2 linked regions of the Anolis sagrei genome follow. The protein of the gene in region 1 interacts with the protein of each later gene in a pairwise test. Links are inferred from orthologs where the notes say so. Each region holds a gene or a part of one and is shown on either strand. Other genes may lie near its edges.

Region 1 (7,216 bases):
TTCATTTCATCATAAACCAACTGGTAACCCAAAGGCACATTCACATAACAGCAAGCCCCAGACTCTGGATTTGTATTATGCCTTCCTGGAACAGATGATTACGCCTTCAAAAAGGAGGGATATATCTAGTAATAATGAAAGATTCGAACTATCCTGATATTTTTGGATAACAGCTCCAACTAATCTCTCACCTGCTTTGCTAACAATTATATTATACAGAAGGTGGAAGAGGCAAGAAGGGGATCCTAACTAACAGTGAAGATGAGACTAATGGGATGGAAGTGCTAGGTTGCTTAGGCGGGACTGACCATGATCTCCTGGAGTCTGTTATCCAGTTCAAAGGGGAAATCCAAGCATAGTGAAACATTCATTTTAGACTTTTAAGAAAGCTGATTTCAGTAATCACTGGTAATAATCTTAGAGGATTCTTGGAGAGAAGGGGAAAAAGGAGGGCACAATAAATTACAGTCCAATCAGCCTGACATCAGTTCCAGGGAAGATTTTGGAAAAGAGCAATAGAATCAGGAAAACTAAAGGGAAAGAGATTCTATGTACATATCAGGAGACCACAGTAAGAGCTGTAAAACTTCTCTGGGGGTTTTAAGCATAAGCTAGGTGGCCATCTATCAGGAGTGCTTTGGGTCTATTATTGCATGGCAGAATGGGGTTGGACTAGATGACCTTGGGCTCTCTTCCAACTCTAGGGGCCCTTCCACACAGCCCTATATCCCAGAATATCGACAGAAAATCCCACAATATCTGCTTTGAACTGGGTTATCTGAGTCACACTCAGATAATGTGTGATTTTCTGCCTTGATATTCTGGGATAGAGTGCTGTGTGGCAGGGCCCTGAGTCTACACTGCCATATATCCAAGTTCAAAGCAAATAATGTGGGATTTTCTGCCTTGACATTCTGGATTATATGGCTGTGTGGAAGGGCCCTAGGAGTCTCTGAACATACCAGTGGAGGTTTCCATGTATCTGGTGGAGTTAATTGTAGTCCAAGAAAGCCCTCAGCTTTGTTTAGAGTCTCAGGCTCATCAGTCTGGGGAATAATGGCAGCTGCCTTTCAAACATAACTTCCATTTTTCTAATTGAGACTGCTTTCAGTGCAACAAATGAAAGCGCCTGCAAACTTGGGCTACTTCTGTTTAGTGAAACATTTATTTTGCTTGCAGCCACAAGCCCTCCTTTTTGGCTCAGGATATGGAATTGCCTCTTTGATATATTTTTTCTCACTTGGATCCACTTTTCTAATTCAAATTTAGCTGTTCAAGTGTTCCAAAACTCTGGAAGCATAACACTATATAATAAAATTTGAAACATTTCTGTTCCCGGTTTGAAAGTGTTCCTTCCTGTTTAATTGTATGGTCCTTACTTTGAAAGCAGTTGTCATATTATAGAAACTGTTTATGTGGCGGCGACAAACTATGTTGAATTGTTTGAGACTCTAGGACAGTGGTTCCCAATTTGTGGTCCGTGGACCACCAGTGGTCCACAATAATGCAAATATGGTCTGCAGCCTCACCATTACTACACTGTTGCCTCAAAACCACACAGCAACGAGAGCAACTGGTTTTGCGAAACCCTCTTATAGTGACGAGGCAACAATGATGTCGGGAGGGGAGAGACTGATTACCTACAAAAGATTACTACTACTACCACATCAGCACTACATTATTAAATATGGTTTTGTATAGGCAAGCAGATGGTGACTACTGGATAGCATATGTCCTGTAGCAGAAACTAGAGCTGATGTGGTCTATTCAATGCAATTTTCTGAAGCAGCACCTCAAATAACCAAACCAAATCTTTGTTGTTTATTTGTTCAGTTGCTTCCAACTCTTCGTGACCTCATGGACAAGCCCACGCCAGAGCTCCCTGTTGGACGTGGCCACCCCCCAGCTCCTTCAAGGTCAAGCCAATCCCTTCAAGGCCTATAGTGTGTTGATCTTAAGAACATTGGATTCGTCGTTCACCTCCAGCACCGTTGGCTGCTAGCCTTCCTTTTGGCTTTGAGTTAGCTGCGTCATCACATCTGGGGCTAGTTGAACTTAATCCTCTGCTCCTCCCCATCTTCCAACCTGGGAGTCCCATCTTTTGATGGCATACCGACATATCTCTAGTTGTACTGATCCATTTAGTTTTCATGGCAACAGTACTGGGGTGGGTTGCCATTACCTTCCCCAGGGATCGCATTTAGTCTGACCTCTCTGCCACGACCTTCCCGTCTTGGGTGTCCCTTTACAGTTTCGCTCGTGGCATCATTGAGGTGCTCAAGCCCCAGCACCACAACAAGACAATGCTTCTCTGCTGGAGCAAATTTAAATCTAAAGTTGACCAAAAACAATGTATTGTTGAAGACCAAAAACTAATTTGTAACCCTTTTGGTATTAATGTTGGGGAGTGGTCCTCTAAATGCACTTTACTATGGATCTAGGAGTGTCTGCACGCCCCATCCCTCTCTAAAAACTCTATCTAGCTCCTATTTCATCTTTTCATGCTCAGCATTATTTTTAAATTTTAATTATTACATTTGGCCCAGCCATAGGTTTTTAAACGTCCCTGTGTGGCTGTTAATGTTTATTGCTTATTTTTAATGAGTTTTTATTTTATTGTTTTGTATTGTTGTTTGTTATTGCTTTTATTATTGATGTATTGTGGGCTTGGCCTTATGTAAGCCGCACCGAGTCCCTTGGGAGATGGTAACGGAGTATAAATAAAGTTTCATATTTATTATTATTATTATTATTATTATTATTATTATTATTATTATTACTGGTCCCTGTTCAAGTGGCCCCTGGTCAAAAAATGATTGGGAACCAGTGCTGTAGGAGATGTTTTGCCCCCATACTGTACTTCCCCCTGCCTGTTTGAAGGCCTGTCTCCACTACTCCATTTCCAATGAGCTTCTCCCTCGCAAACATTTTTGTTCCATTTCTAACTAATCCTGAGTTATTATCATTTTATCTTGTACATGTGGCCCGCTTATTGTGATTTATCTCTCACTATATTTTTGCACTGTACTATTGTATTCTTATGTTTTATGTATTGCGATGTTTATTCTGTGCTTTTGGTTGTATTCTGTAGTAATGCACTACTGGGTTTGACCTCATGTAAGCTGCCCTGAGTCCCCTTTGGGGAGATGGTAGCGGGGTATAAATAAAATTCATCATCATCATCTTTTTTTTTTTATTAAATTTTCTGGATTTTCTCTTTATACAGTGAAAGAGTGGGAACAATGAAATGGATAGAAAGGGTGGGAAAATCGTCGTATGATGTGAGAGGGAGGTGAGATGGGGAAGGGGAGAGGGAGGAAGGTAATTGGGCGGTGAGGGAGGTGAGATGGGGAAGGGGAGAGGGAGGAAGGTAATTGGGCCCCCATCATCTTGAGCCCCCGGTGTCAGCGCAGTGGGTTAAACCCCTGTGCCGTCAGGACTGAAGACCAACAGGTCGCAGGTTCGAATCCAGGAAGAGGCGGATGAGCTCCCTCTGTCAGCTCCAGCTCCCCATGCGGGGACATGAGAGAAGCCTCCCACAAGGATGATAAAAACATCAAATCACCCAGGCATCCCCTGGGCAATGTCCTTGCAGACAGCCAATTCTCTCACACCAGAAGCGACTTGCAGTTTCTCAAGTCGCTCCTGACATGACCAAAAAAATCATCATCATTATTATTAATTGAAAACTATATCAAAATGTGTTGCAAGATGTCACGGCAAAAATAAAGTTTTGGCAGTTTAATCAACTTTTCCCATGTTTATTATAGCATTGAACCCATTAGGAAATGACATTTAAAATCGTGCCTCATTGTGTAATACACTGCAGAATAAAGGCTGCCTGAGCCCGCTTCAAGTCACAAAGGCTGAAGGCTGTGGGATCCTGAGATTTGTAGTTTGGGGAGGTCCCAGCGCTCTTTGGAAGAGAAAGGTTAAAGACCTTGTGGAAATGCCACTCCCATTATTCCATAGCATTGAGCCATGACCATTAGACTCTAAGTGTCTGGATGGGGTGCTCTTCTTGCCTTTGACCCCCATGCTCCCCCTCCTTTTCCCTCCTTTTCCTGTTGAGTCAGCCCCCTCCCCTCCTTCCCTCCAGGTCACGTGAGGAGCAGCGGAGGGGGAGCTCCGTCTCGCGGGGAGGGGGCGGTGACTCGGGAGGGGGGCGTGGCTTCAGGGGAGCGCGAGGAGGGGGCCGGCTATAAGAAGGCGAGGCGCTGGGGCTGGGCTCAGTCCTGCCCCTTTGGATCCTGCGGTGCTCTTGTTATTGGGTTGCTTTCCAGGAGCAGGAAGTGGCAAGGTAAAAAATAATAGTAAAAGAGGGAGGGGGTCCTTTTTTAACGCGGGAATCTAGATTTCTACAGAAAGGAGAAAGAAGAAATTGTTATTTAGACTCTTATGTCGCTTCCTTGGATTTGGCGCCTTCCCTGGAAGTTTGTCCAGCTGGACGGCCATCTGTCGGGAGTGTTTGGATGGTGGCAGAATTGGGTCGGGCTGGATGGCCCTTGGGGTTCCCTCCCAACTCCAGAATCCTTGGAGTGAGGCCGGAGTTCTATGTTGGGGCTTTCCCAGCCTTGATAGTGCTGGGGAAAGGGGAGAGAAGAGAGAAACTACAAGAAAGGAGATTACATCTGAACATGAGGAAGAACTTCCTGACTGTGAGAGTTGTTCAGCAGTGGAACTCTCTGCCCCGGAGTGTGGTAGAGGCTCCTCCTTTGGAAGCTTTTAACAGAGGCTGGATGGCCATCTGTCGGGGGTGCTCTGTATGTGATTTTCCTGCTTCTTGGAAAGGAGTTGGACTGGATGGCCCATGAGGTCTCTTCCAATTCTGTGATTCTAAAGTGGGTTCTCTTGTGCCACGTTGTTAAACAGAGGTGGGATGGCCATCTGTCGGGGGTGCTTTGAATGCAATTTTCCTGCTTCTTGGCAGGGGGTTGGACTGGATGGCCCAGGAGGTCTCTTCCAACTCTTAAGATTCTGTGATTCTAAAGTGGGTTCTCTTGTGCCATGTTGTTAAACAGAGGCAGGACGGCCATCTGCTGGGGATGCTTTGATTGTGCTTTCCCTTCGGAGTTGGACTAGATGGCCCTTATGGTCTCTTCCAACTTTCAAGAACTCTGGCTGCATCTACACCAGACATGGGCCAACTTGGGTCCTCCCTCCAGGTGCTTTGGACTTCAATTCCCACAATCCCTAACAGCCTCAGGCCCTTTCCTTTCCCCCCTCAGCCGCTTAGGACCCAAGTTGGCCCATGTCTGATCTACACTGTAGAATTGATGCACTTTGATAATAATGGTAATAATAATATTTATACCCCCCTTTATTTATATGCCACTTTCATGCTATTTGAACCCTGGGAGTTACACTTTGGTGAGTTATACTTTGGCAGAGAAGACGGAAAAAAACCCTTGTCAAACTCCTGTGATTGCGTAGCAGTGATATCAAAGTGTGTTAATTCTACAGTGTGGCCACCCCTGACTGTTTGCGTGGGAGTAGGGAAACTGGAAAATTCCGCCTTGGTGGAGAGAGTGTGTCCCTTGTATCTGAATCTCCCCCAACTTCCTCCTGGCAATCTCTTTCTGATACATATGTATCCTGAAAGGATTTACATGAAACCCAGCCCTTGAGGAAACCGGGCCCAGGTTTACTGGAATCCCTACTCTTCCTCTCCTCCCGCTTTCTGCCTCAGGCTGTCTCCTCCAAGTTTCCTGTTTTTCCTTTTCCCAGCCTCCATGATAGGCTTCAAAACGCCCATCTTCTTTTCCCAGCTTCCCTTTCCTTCCTCCTTCGGCGAGGCTTGAACTCTTAACGCCACTTCTGTTCTGTTTTTTCCCTCCTCACAGGGACGAATAAGGCAAAATGGGCGTCGAAGGCGGCATGAAGTGTGTGAAGTTCCTGGTCTTCTTCTTCAATTTCATATTCTGGGTAAGTCAGTGGAAGTAGGGGAGGAGGGAGAGGTTATGGGGCTTGTTTTGTCCTCCTTTCCTCCCTCCGCCATCAAAAGCTCTGGGCTGGGTTTGCTTGGCCTCTTCAGCAGCCAAGGCGCTTTGTTCCACTTTGGGCAATTAACCTTTAAAGGCTGAATTAACTCCGAGTTGTTGCTCCGTTTCCTTGATGGCTTTCCTTCTTTTCTCTATAAGTGCTAGTAGTAAGTTCCCATCACAAGAGCTGTGCATCCTTAGCTGTGTTATAATCCTTTGGGACTCCTACATACGTACATAATAAATGTGCTTCTCATCGTACTTTAAATCTCTTAAGTACCATCATTTATCTGCTGGAGAATTCTAGGCATCCAGCTTTGGAGATGCATATGTCTTTGTACTAAAAGTGATGCCAAAATACTTTGCATACTTGATTTTTAAAAAAGGTAATAATTTCCCCCTGTTCTGCTATGATGTGGGATGAGTTTACCTTTGAATCAAAAACAACTCGATGATTATCAAATTTCTCCCTTTAGGGTTCAGCACAAAGACAACAATGAACTTCATTTGCCTTTCGAGGATGTTTTGTATGTGTCTTCAGGTCACTTGTCAACTGGTGACCCCATGAATTTTGTGAGGTTTTTTTTAGGCAGGGAATACTCAATGGCAGTTTGGCCAGTTCCTTCCTCTGAGGGCCCTTCCATACAGACCCTATATCCCAGGATCTGATCCCAGTTTTTCTGTTTATCCCAGATTATCTGGCAGTGTGGACTCATATAATCCAGTTTAAAGCAGAAAACTTGGTATCAGATCCTGGGATATAGGGCCTATCTGGAAGGACCCTGAGGCTGGATCTACACTGTCCTGTATCCCAGGATCTGCTCCCAAATTATCTGGCAGTATAAACTCATATAATCCAGTTTAAAGCAGAAAATCTAGGATCAGATCCTGGGATATAGAACCTGTCTAGAAGGGCCTTTGAGGCTAGATCTACACTGCCCTAAATCCCAGGATCTGATCCCAGATTATCTGTTTTGAACTGGATTATATGAGTCTACACTGCCAGATAATCTGGGATCAGATCCTGGGATATAGGGCCTGTGGAAGGGCCTTGAGGCTGGATCTACACTGCCCTATATCCCAGGAGCCCCCGGTGGCACAGTGGGTTAAACCCCTGTGCTGGCAGGACTGAAGGCTGACCGGTCACAGGTTCGAATCTGGGGAGAGCGCGGATGAGCTCCCTCTATCAGCTCCAGCTCCTCGTGGGGACATGAAAGAAGCCTCCCACAAGGATG
Region 2 (7,925 bases), about 48 Mb from region 1:
GTTTATTTTAGTGTGAAGCAAGATCATATTCTCTGAGGCACTCCCTCTCAATGAAAGAAGACTTACATTTTTAAGAATTTGACATTTTTGAACAATTATTTTTATCGTGTCAGGAGTGACTTGAGAAACTGCAAGTCACTTCTGTTGTGAGAGAATTGGCCATCTGCAAGGATGTTGCCGAGACAGATGATTTATGTTTTACCGTCCTGTGAGAGGCTTATCTCATGTCTCTGCATGGGAAGCTAGAGCTCGACAGACAAGAGCTTTCCCTGCCTCCAAGATTCGAACCGCCCAACCTTTCAGTCAACCAGTTCAGCCGGCACGAGGGTTTAACCCATTGTGCCACCAGAGCCTCAAAATAATAAAATAAAAGAGGGCCAAAAAAGTAAATATAAATCTGAAAGCGAACTAGCATTGACAATTTTGGCTAATCAGAATCAAATGTGCGAATCAACAGTATCTGTTTTGCCTAGATTCCATTTAGTTACCTTTTCAACTATTGGACTTTGGAAACTTTCAGAATGCAACGTTTAGCTGTATTTAGGGCTATGACAAAAGGAATATAGCTATATATCATATAGTCTATCAGAGGGCAGTCCTGGAAGTGATTGAGAAAGCTTTTTTTCCTGGCGCAAAACTGATTTTAAAGCACTTTTAAGGGAATGTTTCAGGAATTGAAATATTTCCACAAATGACCAGAGTGAATAAAACCTCAGCATACCATAAGACATGAGCAAGTTTCCATTTGTACTGCCAACTGCCTCTTTTTTTGTCTGGATGCCAGACTTGCAGAAATTCAGCAAGAAAACCTTTTTCCAACATGGTGATAAAGTTATAGAGGAAAGAAATCAACTTCCATCTTTCTCTGTACTCAGGCAGATAACAAAGACACAAGTGTCCTGCCATGAAAAGCACTGGAAACTTATATTTCAATTGCAATGGGCACACTGAAATGATAGATATTTCTCTGGCTGTAGGCATTGTTACTTAAGAAGTGATCTGAGTAAAGCTTTTATAATGACCTCACTACCTCTGAGGATGCTTGCCATAGATGCAGGCGAAACATCAGGAGATAATGCCTCTAGAACATGGCCATATAGCCCGAAAAAACCTACAACAACCCAGCTTTTATAATGACTTCAAAAAAACCCAACAAGTTGCAACTCTTGTTTAAGTTTGAATAGTTAATTCACATTTTGCTGATATAAAATGGATGAAGGGACCGCATGCAGCTCATAGACTGTGTGGGCCCCTCCCGACAGGGCCTTTATTGAGGGAACTCCTGCAATAAAGATGGGCTGTCCAGACAATGTTCAGGACATTCCCGCATTAATTCGCTACAAAACAGGAAAACCCTCCACACATTCTCTCGGGCTAATCCCGAGAGAATGTGTCGACAACCCATCCCAGAAAGCATGCGCTTTCTGGGGTGGGTATGGACAGGCCCCCAGAAATATCCATCTTAAAAAAAAAAGTGGATGCTCACCCAGATCCTAGAATTCGTGAGTTGGAAGGTACCTAACTTCCTATTGATGGAGGAAATGTTTCAGTAAAGCAACCTGAGATGTGGCCTCTGTTTGAAAACCTGGGAAGTCTGCCACCTTACTGGGAAAGCTCTTTTACTTTGCTACAGTTGTACCTCCAATAAATTATTCCAAATGTTTTGCCAAAATCTCCTTTCTTGTAAACAGTCCCTCTTGGTTTTAATTTCTCCTGCCTTTCATTTGCCCCATAGTCATAAAACACCTAGTTCTTTCCCCTCTTCATACCACAGATGCACATCTATACAGCCCTTCTGTATCTGGCTTGCAAACTATGTACCACAAGGTAACCAAGCAAGTGGCTGTTTACAGATTGAGCATGGAGCATAAGAGCATGCACTGTATTTGAGGATACAGAAAAAGAATCCAGAGAACGGGGAGCATCAGGTTTCATAGCAGAAGGCAAGTTTCCATGGAGGGAGAGGTGAGAGACTGCAGAGAGAAAGCTCTTTGATGCTACTGGGTTCCGGAGACTCACCAATATCAGCGGAGCAGAATGCCGACTGGGGGTGCCGGGGAGCGCAGGAGCAGGCCTCAGTGGTATCTCCTCGCAGAGCGAGGAGGAGGAAGCTGGCAGCCAGGAATCCGTTTACTTTAGCCATGTTCATTTTCCTTTTTTTCTTTTTATTAAGAGAATGAGGAAGAATGTGAGTCAGTAGCTTGACTTGGAGAGTGGAGAAAGTAGAGTTATTTCAGAAAAGGGAGTTGGAAGAAAGGGATGTGGAAACATCCCACACAGGGCTGCCCACATAGGTACAGGATGAGGAGATCAATTGATGGCTATATTTTGAGTAACAGGGAGCAAAGGAGATCTGCACTCCCAGAGGAACAAAGCTCCTCTGTGTCCTGGTTCTGTGATAGGCAATGGAGGGCTGGACTGAGTTTGAAAAAAAAGAAACAGGATGAAGAGAGGAGTAGATTGCAATATGAGCGGGTGTCCCTTCTGGAGTCTGAACTTCATAGCGACTTTCTGTTTCTTTAGGATGCCCTCAATCCCACTAGGATAGTGGGTTGGATATGAGAAGCTTTAGCAGGAGGCAAGGGAGCCAAGGGAAGCAAAATGACAAAACTAAACCAGAATTTCCAATGTGAGGTGCGTCTGTGGCAATGCAAAAGAGAGGAGGAATAAAAAGAGCAAGGTCAGGGAGGCACAACAAGGAGACAAGAGATTCGTAGAGATCCTTGGGATATTTCCTGGTAAAAAGAGTTGCAATCTAAAGGGAGGGGACCAGTTTAGGGGTTATAGTGGGTTCCCTATAAAGTAGGAGGGGAAGGCTCGGAGTGCTGCAAAAGAAGAGTTCATCTTACCTTGATCTCTGTCAGTCTCTTTCAGCGTCTTCTGCCACTTCAGACTGCGTCTCCCAGCCCTTCTGGCTCATACTTAAATATCACCCTGCTTCCCCCTTGTCTCCCCCTGCTTTTCCTGTCCAGACTGCCAAAGGGGCGGGACAGCCCCAGCCTGTGGTTTCAAGTCCAGAGTCAACTCATGCCAGGATGGGGTGTGTGCTGACTGATTAATACGACTTAAGTGATAGAGATGGTGTCAGGATGCTGGAGAGGAGGCAAAGGACAGTTGTGGGGTGGGACCAGCAGCAGTAGGTTTCACCATTCGCTAAAGGATTTAGAGGAAATTACAAATTCCTCAGTGGAAGAAAAGTAATACTTGTGCTTGTTGAGGAGATGGACTTTGAAGAAGGCTCCATCTAGATTTAACAGGGCATGCCACAAGGTGGCATCATAGAGCTAGCCACATCTGGAGAACACTTCCATTCATGTTTCTGCTTAACCCCTTCCCAGAAATAGATTATGGTTGGTTTGTTTTACAAGATCTCCATGATGTTAATTTTATCCTTTATCCCTGTTTTTTGGTGCTCAGATTCACCTTAAAGTCTTCTCTGTTCTACCAGTGTTTTTAATAAAATGCAAAAATACAGAAATTGACATACTCCCACTCCCCCACATACACTGGATTGAAGATACAAATTTTCTATTCTCACAAAAAATTATCCATCCTGCAGAATGATAGCACTCTGATGCCACTTTAGTTTGTCATTTGTAATTTGTCATGACATCAGAGCTATGTTCAACAAAAGGCAAGAGGGATCCCCTCACCTCTGGAGGAGTCTACTGTATACCATGCAGATGTGGAGAAGTCTACATAGGGACCACAAACACAGCATTGTCCAGACATGAATCAAGAAACATGAAAGGCACTTCAGGCTAACTCAACCAGAGAAGTCAGCCATAGCAGAGCACTTGATGAGCCAACCTGAATACAGCATATTATTTGAGAACATAGAAATCCTGGACCACTCAAACAACCTCATGTCAGACTACACAGAGAAGCCATTGAAATCCACAACCATGTGGACAATTTTAACAGAAAGCGAGAAACTATGAAAATGAACAAAATCTGGCAACCAGTATTTATAAACTCTAAAATCATAACAGTAAAAACAGGGACTCCAGACAAGAGACAGTCAGGGACAGCTAATCACCTCTCAGCAAAGGATTCCCCCAGGCAGTAAGAAGTCACACATTGAAAACTGCTAGGGCATTAAATGCTAATCAAGGTGGCTAATTGAAACATTCACACCTAGCTCCAACAGACAAGAGTTCTTTCTCCCACCCTGGACATTCCACAGATATATAAATCCCATTTTCTTAGTTTCCAACAGATCTTACAAACTCTAAGGATGCCTGCCATAGATGCAGGCAAAACATCAGGAGATAATGTTTCCAGAACATGGCCATACAGCCTGAAAAACATACAGCAACCTGATGAGAATTGATAAGAATTATAATGTGAACTGGCCAAAGTGGTCCGTGCCTTAGTCACCTCTAGACTGGATTACTGCAATGCACTCTATGTGGGGCTGCCCTTGAAAATGGTCCAGAAATTTCAGATGATCCAATGGGCGGCAGCCAGGTTGTTAACTGGGGTGCCTTACAGGGAGCGGTCAACCCTCCTGTTCAAGGAGCTCCACTGGCTGCCATTCATTTACCGGACCCAATTCAAGGTGCAGGTTCTTACCTACAAAGCCCTGAACGGTTTGGGACCCGCCTACCTGCGTGACCGCATCTCTGTATACGAACCCACACGATCCCTTCGATCATCCGGGGAGGCCCTGCTCTCAATCCCACCAGCATCGCAGGCGCGGTTGGTGGGGATGAGAGAGAGGGCCTTTTCAGTGGTGGCCCCTTGACTCTGGAACTCACTCCCTAAAGACATCAGACAGGCCCCAACCTTGGCAGTCTTTAGGAGGAGCTTGAAGATGTGGTTGTTCCAGTGTGCCTTCCCAGAATAATGATCTCATAGCACTTTGTCCTCCAAAGAACTTTACTTTTTTTAGATCTGCTCGTATGCCCTTACAAACGCCACTATCACCTTTTGTCCATGTCCCAGCATTATTTCCATTTTAACTTTACATTTGGCCTTCCCACTGTTTTTAATTGTGTGTTGTCTTATTGATAATGTTGTATATTTTATTGTCTATGTTTTTATTTTAATTGCTTGTACTGTTGTTGTTTTGCTTGTATTGTTGTACTCGGCCTCGGCCTCATGTAAGCCGCACCGAGTCCCTTAGGGAGATGATGGCAGAGTACAAATAAAGTGTTATTATTATTATTATTATTATTATTATTATTATTATTATTATCTAGTTGGGAGAACCAAAGGTTCTGTTTACCTTTTAGAGGTATATTTGTTGTGTTATGTTAAGTCATTTTTTTTACTTTCGGTAACCCTGAGAAGCACATTTGATGGGGATTTCTTTGCAGAATTTGTCTTCTTCAGAAACCGAGAGAGTGTGACTTCCTCAAAGGTCAGGCAGTGACTTTTCATGGCTGATCAGAGATTTAACAGGAGAACTTTGATAACAGGAGAAAATGCTTACCTTGGTGGTTTTGATCTCATGGTACATTCAACTTCTTTCTAAGAGGGTCCCCTCCATCTTGTTGGCAGTCAAAAATTTGGGAATTCAAAACAAGAAACAATCAGGGCAAGATAACACCATCCCCCCCAACAAAGGCTCCCCTCAGGCAGGAAGTTGAACCTGCAATGCTAATCAAGGTGGCTAATTGCAACATTCACACTTGTCTCCAAAAGACAAGAGTTCTTTCTCCCACCCTGGACATTCCACAGATATATAAACCTCATTTGCCTAGTTTCCAACATACCTCACAACCTCTGAGGATGCCTGCCATAGATGTGGGTGAAACATCAGGAGAGAATGCTTCTGGAACATGGCCATACAGCCTGGAAAACTCACAGAAACCCAGTGATTCTGGCCATGAAAGCCTTTGACAACACAAAATAATTCAGCTGTTTTGGGATCTGCCATCTCCATGGAGGGGGGGGGGGATATCACATTTTGCTTGACTGTAGGGATAGACAGTCATATAAAAATGTGCAGTTTGCAACCAGACCCAGGATAAAAGAGGAGTTCTTTAGCCTGTGTTTTGGCTGCATTGTTCCAATTCAGTGCAGATTTACTGGAAACGTCATCTAGACACTTGCCCTCTTTAACCTGTTCTCTTCTGTTTCTTTTGTGCTGTGTGTAAGGGCCCTAAGACAGTGGATTTAAATTACTAAAAAAGAAATTCCGCATTCCAACAATGGCATATACTCTCCTGGGGTAGGGGGGGGGGGGATTGCCATGTTTGAAATTTCTAACCAGGCATTGGATGGACATCTTTTAGGGATGTTGTAGTTGTGGGTTCCTGTGGGCAGGGGACTGGATTAGATGTCACTTGTGGTCCTATCCAACTCTATGATTCTGCTACTAACTCTTCCCACTAAGTGGAGCAGCCCTCAGGTGCAGAAGATGCCAGTTTCATGGCTTCACATACCTATAGAGTCCTTTTGTATGTGGTCTGCAACCTACTTACCATAAGACAGTCAAAGAAGTGGCTGTTGGCAGACTGAGCATGGAGCGTGAGAGCATTTGAGAATACAGAAAAAAGAATCAAGAGAACGGGGAGCACCAGGTTTCATAGCAGAAGGCAAGTTTCCATGGAAGGAGAAGTAAAAGACTGCAGACAGACTCACCGACATCATAGGAGCAGAATGCTTCCTGGGGGTACTCGGAGGCACATTTGCAGGCCTCAGTGGTATCTTGCAACCAGAGTGAAGAGGAGTAAGCTGGCAACCAGGAATTTACTTGCTTTAGCCAGGTCCATCCTCTTTCTTTCGTCCTGTTTTTTTGCTGAAAAAACGAGGAGGAATGTGACTCAGTGGTGTGACTGGGGGAGTGGAGAAGGTAGTGTTATTTCAGGAGAGGGAAGTTGGAAGGAAGGGGTGGGGAAACACCCTGCACAGAACTGCTGCAGGGGTGCAGGATTAGGGGAGTGATGAATGGCTCTATTTTGAGCAGCCAAGAGCAAGGTAGATCTTGACTCCCAAAGGAACAAATCACTGTATTTTCCTGATTCTGTGGCAGGCAATGGAGGGCAGGACTGAGTTTGAGAAGTAGAGGAGAACAGGATATAGAGATGAGTGGACTGCAATATGAGAGGGTGCACCTTCTGAACTCAGAGCTATACCAGAATTTGCAATGCAAAAGAGAGGAGTGAATAAGAAGACCAAGACAAGGGAAATGCAACAAGGAGGCAAGAGTTTGGTGGAGCTCCTGAGGATATTTCCCTGGATTGGCAATCTAAATAGAGGGGATCAGTTTAGGGGTTACAGTGAGTTCCCTATAGCAGTGATTCCCAGGTTGTTTTGGACTTCAGCTCCCACAGTTCCTAACAGTTGGTAAGCTGGCTGGGATTTCTAGTAGTTGAAGTCCAAAACACCTGGAGGACCAAAGGCTGGGAACCGCTGGCCTACAGGATAGGAGGCAGGATTGGGATAAGGCTCAGAGTGCTGCAAAAAAAGGAGTTAGAGCTCCCATCTCACCTTGATCTCTGCGAGTCTCTTTAGGTGTCCTCTGCCACTTCACACTGCGTTTCCCAGCCCTTTTGTCTTGTACTTAAATATTACCCCACTTCCCCTTTGTCTCCCCGTACTTTTCCTGTCCTGACTGCCAAAGGGGCGGAATAGCCCCAGCCTGTGGTTTCAAGTCCAGAGTCAAGCCATGCCAGGATGGGGTGTGTGCTGACTGATTAATCCAACTCAAGCAATAGAGATGCAGGCAGGATGCTGGAGGAAAGGGAAAGGGCAGCAGCAGGTGTCACAATTTCCAGAAGAATTTAGGGAGAAAATTGGAACCTCAATGGAAGAAAAATGAAACTTGTGCTTGTTGGAAGACTGACTTCGAAGTTGTGTCTAGCTAAATTTAACAGGGCATGCCACAAGGTGGCAGATAGAGCTACCACACCTGGAAAAAGCTCCCATCCAGGTTTCTGCCTCATTCCTTCCCAGAAATAAATTGTGGTTGATTT

The links.
Region 2: the proteins of CD63 (region 1) and metalloproteinase inhibitor 1-like interact in binary tests that used the Homo sapiens proteins (3 or more experiments, as listed by UniProt). The link is inferred for Anolis sagrei from reciprocal best matches to the Homo sapiens genes CD63 and TIMP1.

Annotation. Positions count from the first base shown.
Region 1 is NC_090022.1:145,171,352-145,178,567, forward strand, and holds the start of CD63 (CD63 antigen), read left to right. Parts: upstream 1-4,195; 5' UTR 4,196-4,300; intron 4,301-5,843; 5' UTR 5,844-5,859; coding exon 5,860-5,925; intron 5,926-7,216. UniProt on the Homo sapiens protein: Functions as a cell surface receptor for TIMP1 and plays a role in the activation of cellular signaling cascades. Plays a role in the activation of ITGB1 and integrin signaling, leading to the activation of AKT, FAK/PTK2 and MAP kinases.
Region 2 is NC_090022.1:192,811,024-192,818,948, reverse strand, and holds the start of metalloproteinase inhibitor 1-like, read right to left. Parts: upstream 3,056-7,925; 5' UTR 2,850-3,055; intron 2,162-2,849; 5' UTR 2,150-2,161; coding exon 2,020-2,149; intron 1-2,019. UniProt on the Homo sapiens protein: Metalloproteinase inhibitor that functions by forming one to one complexes with target metalloproteinases, such as collagenases, and irreversibly inactivates them by binding to their catalytic zinc cofactor.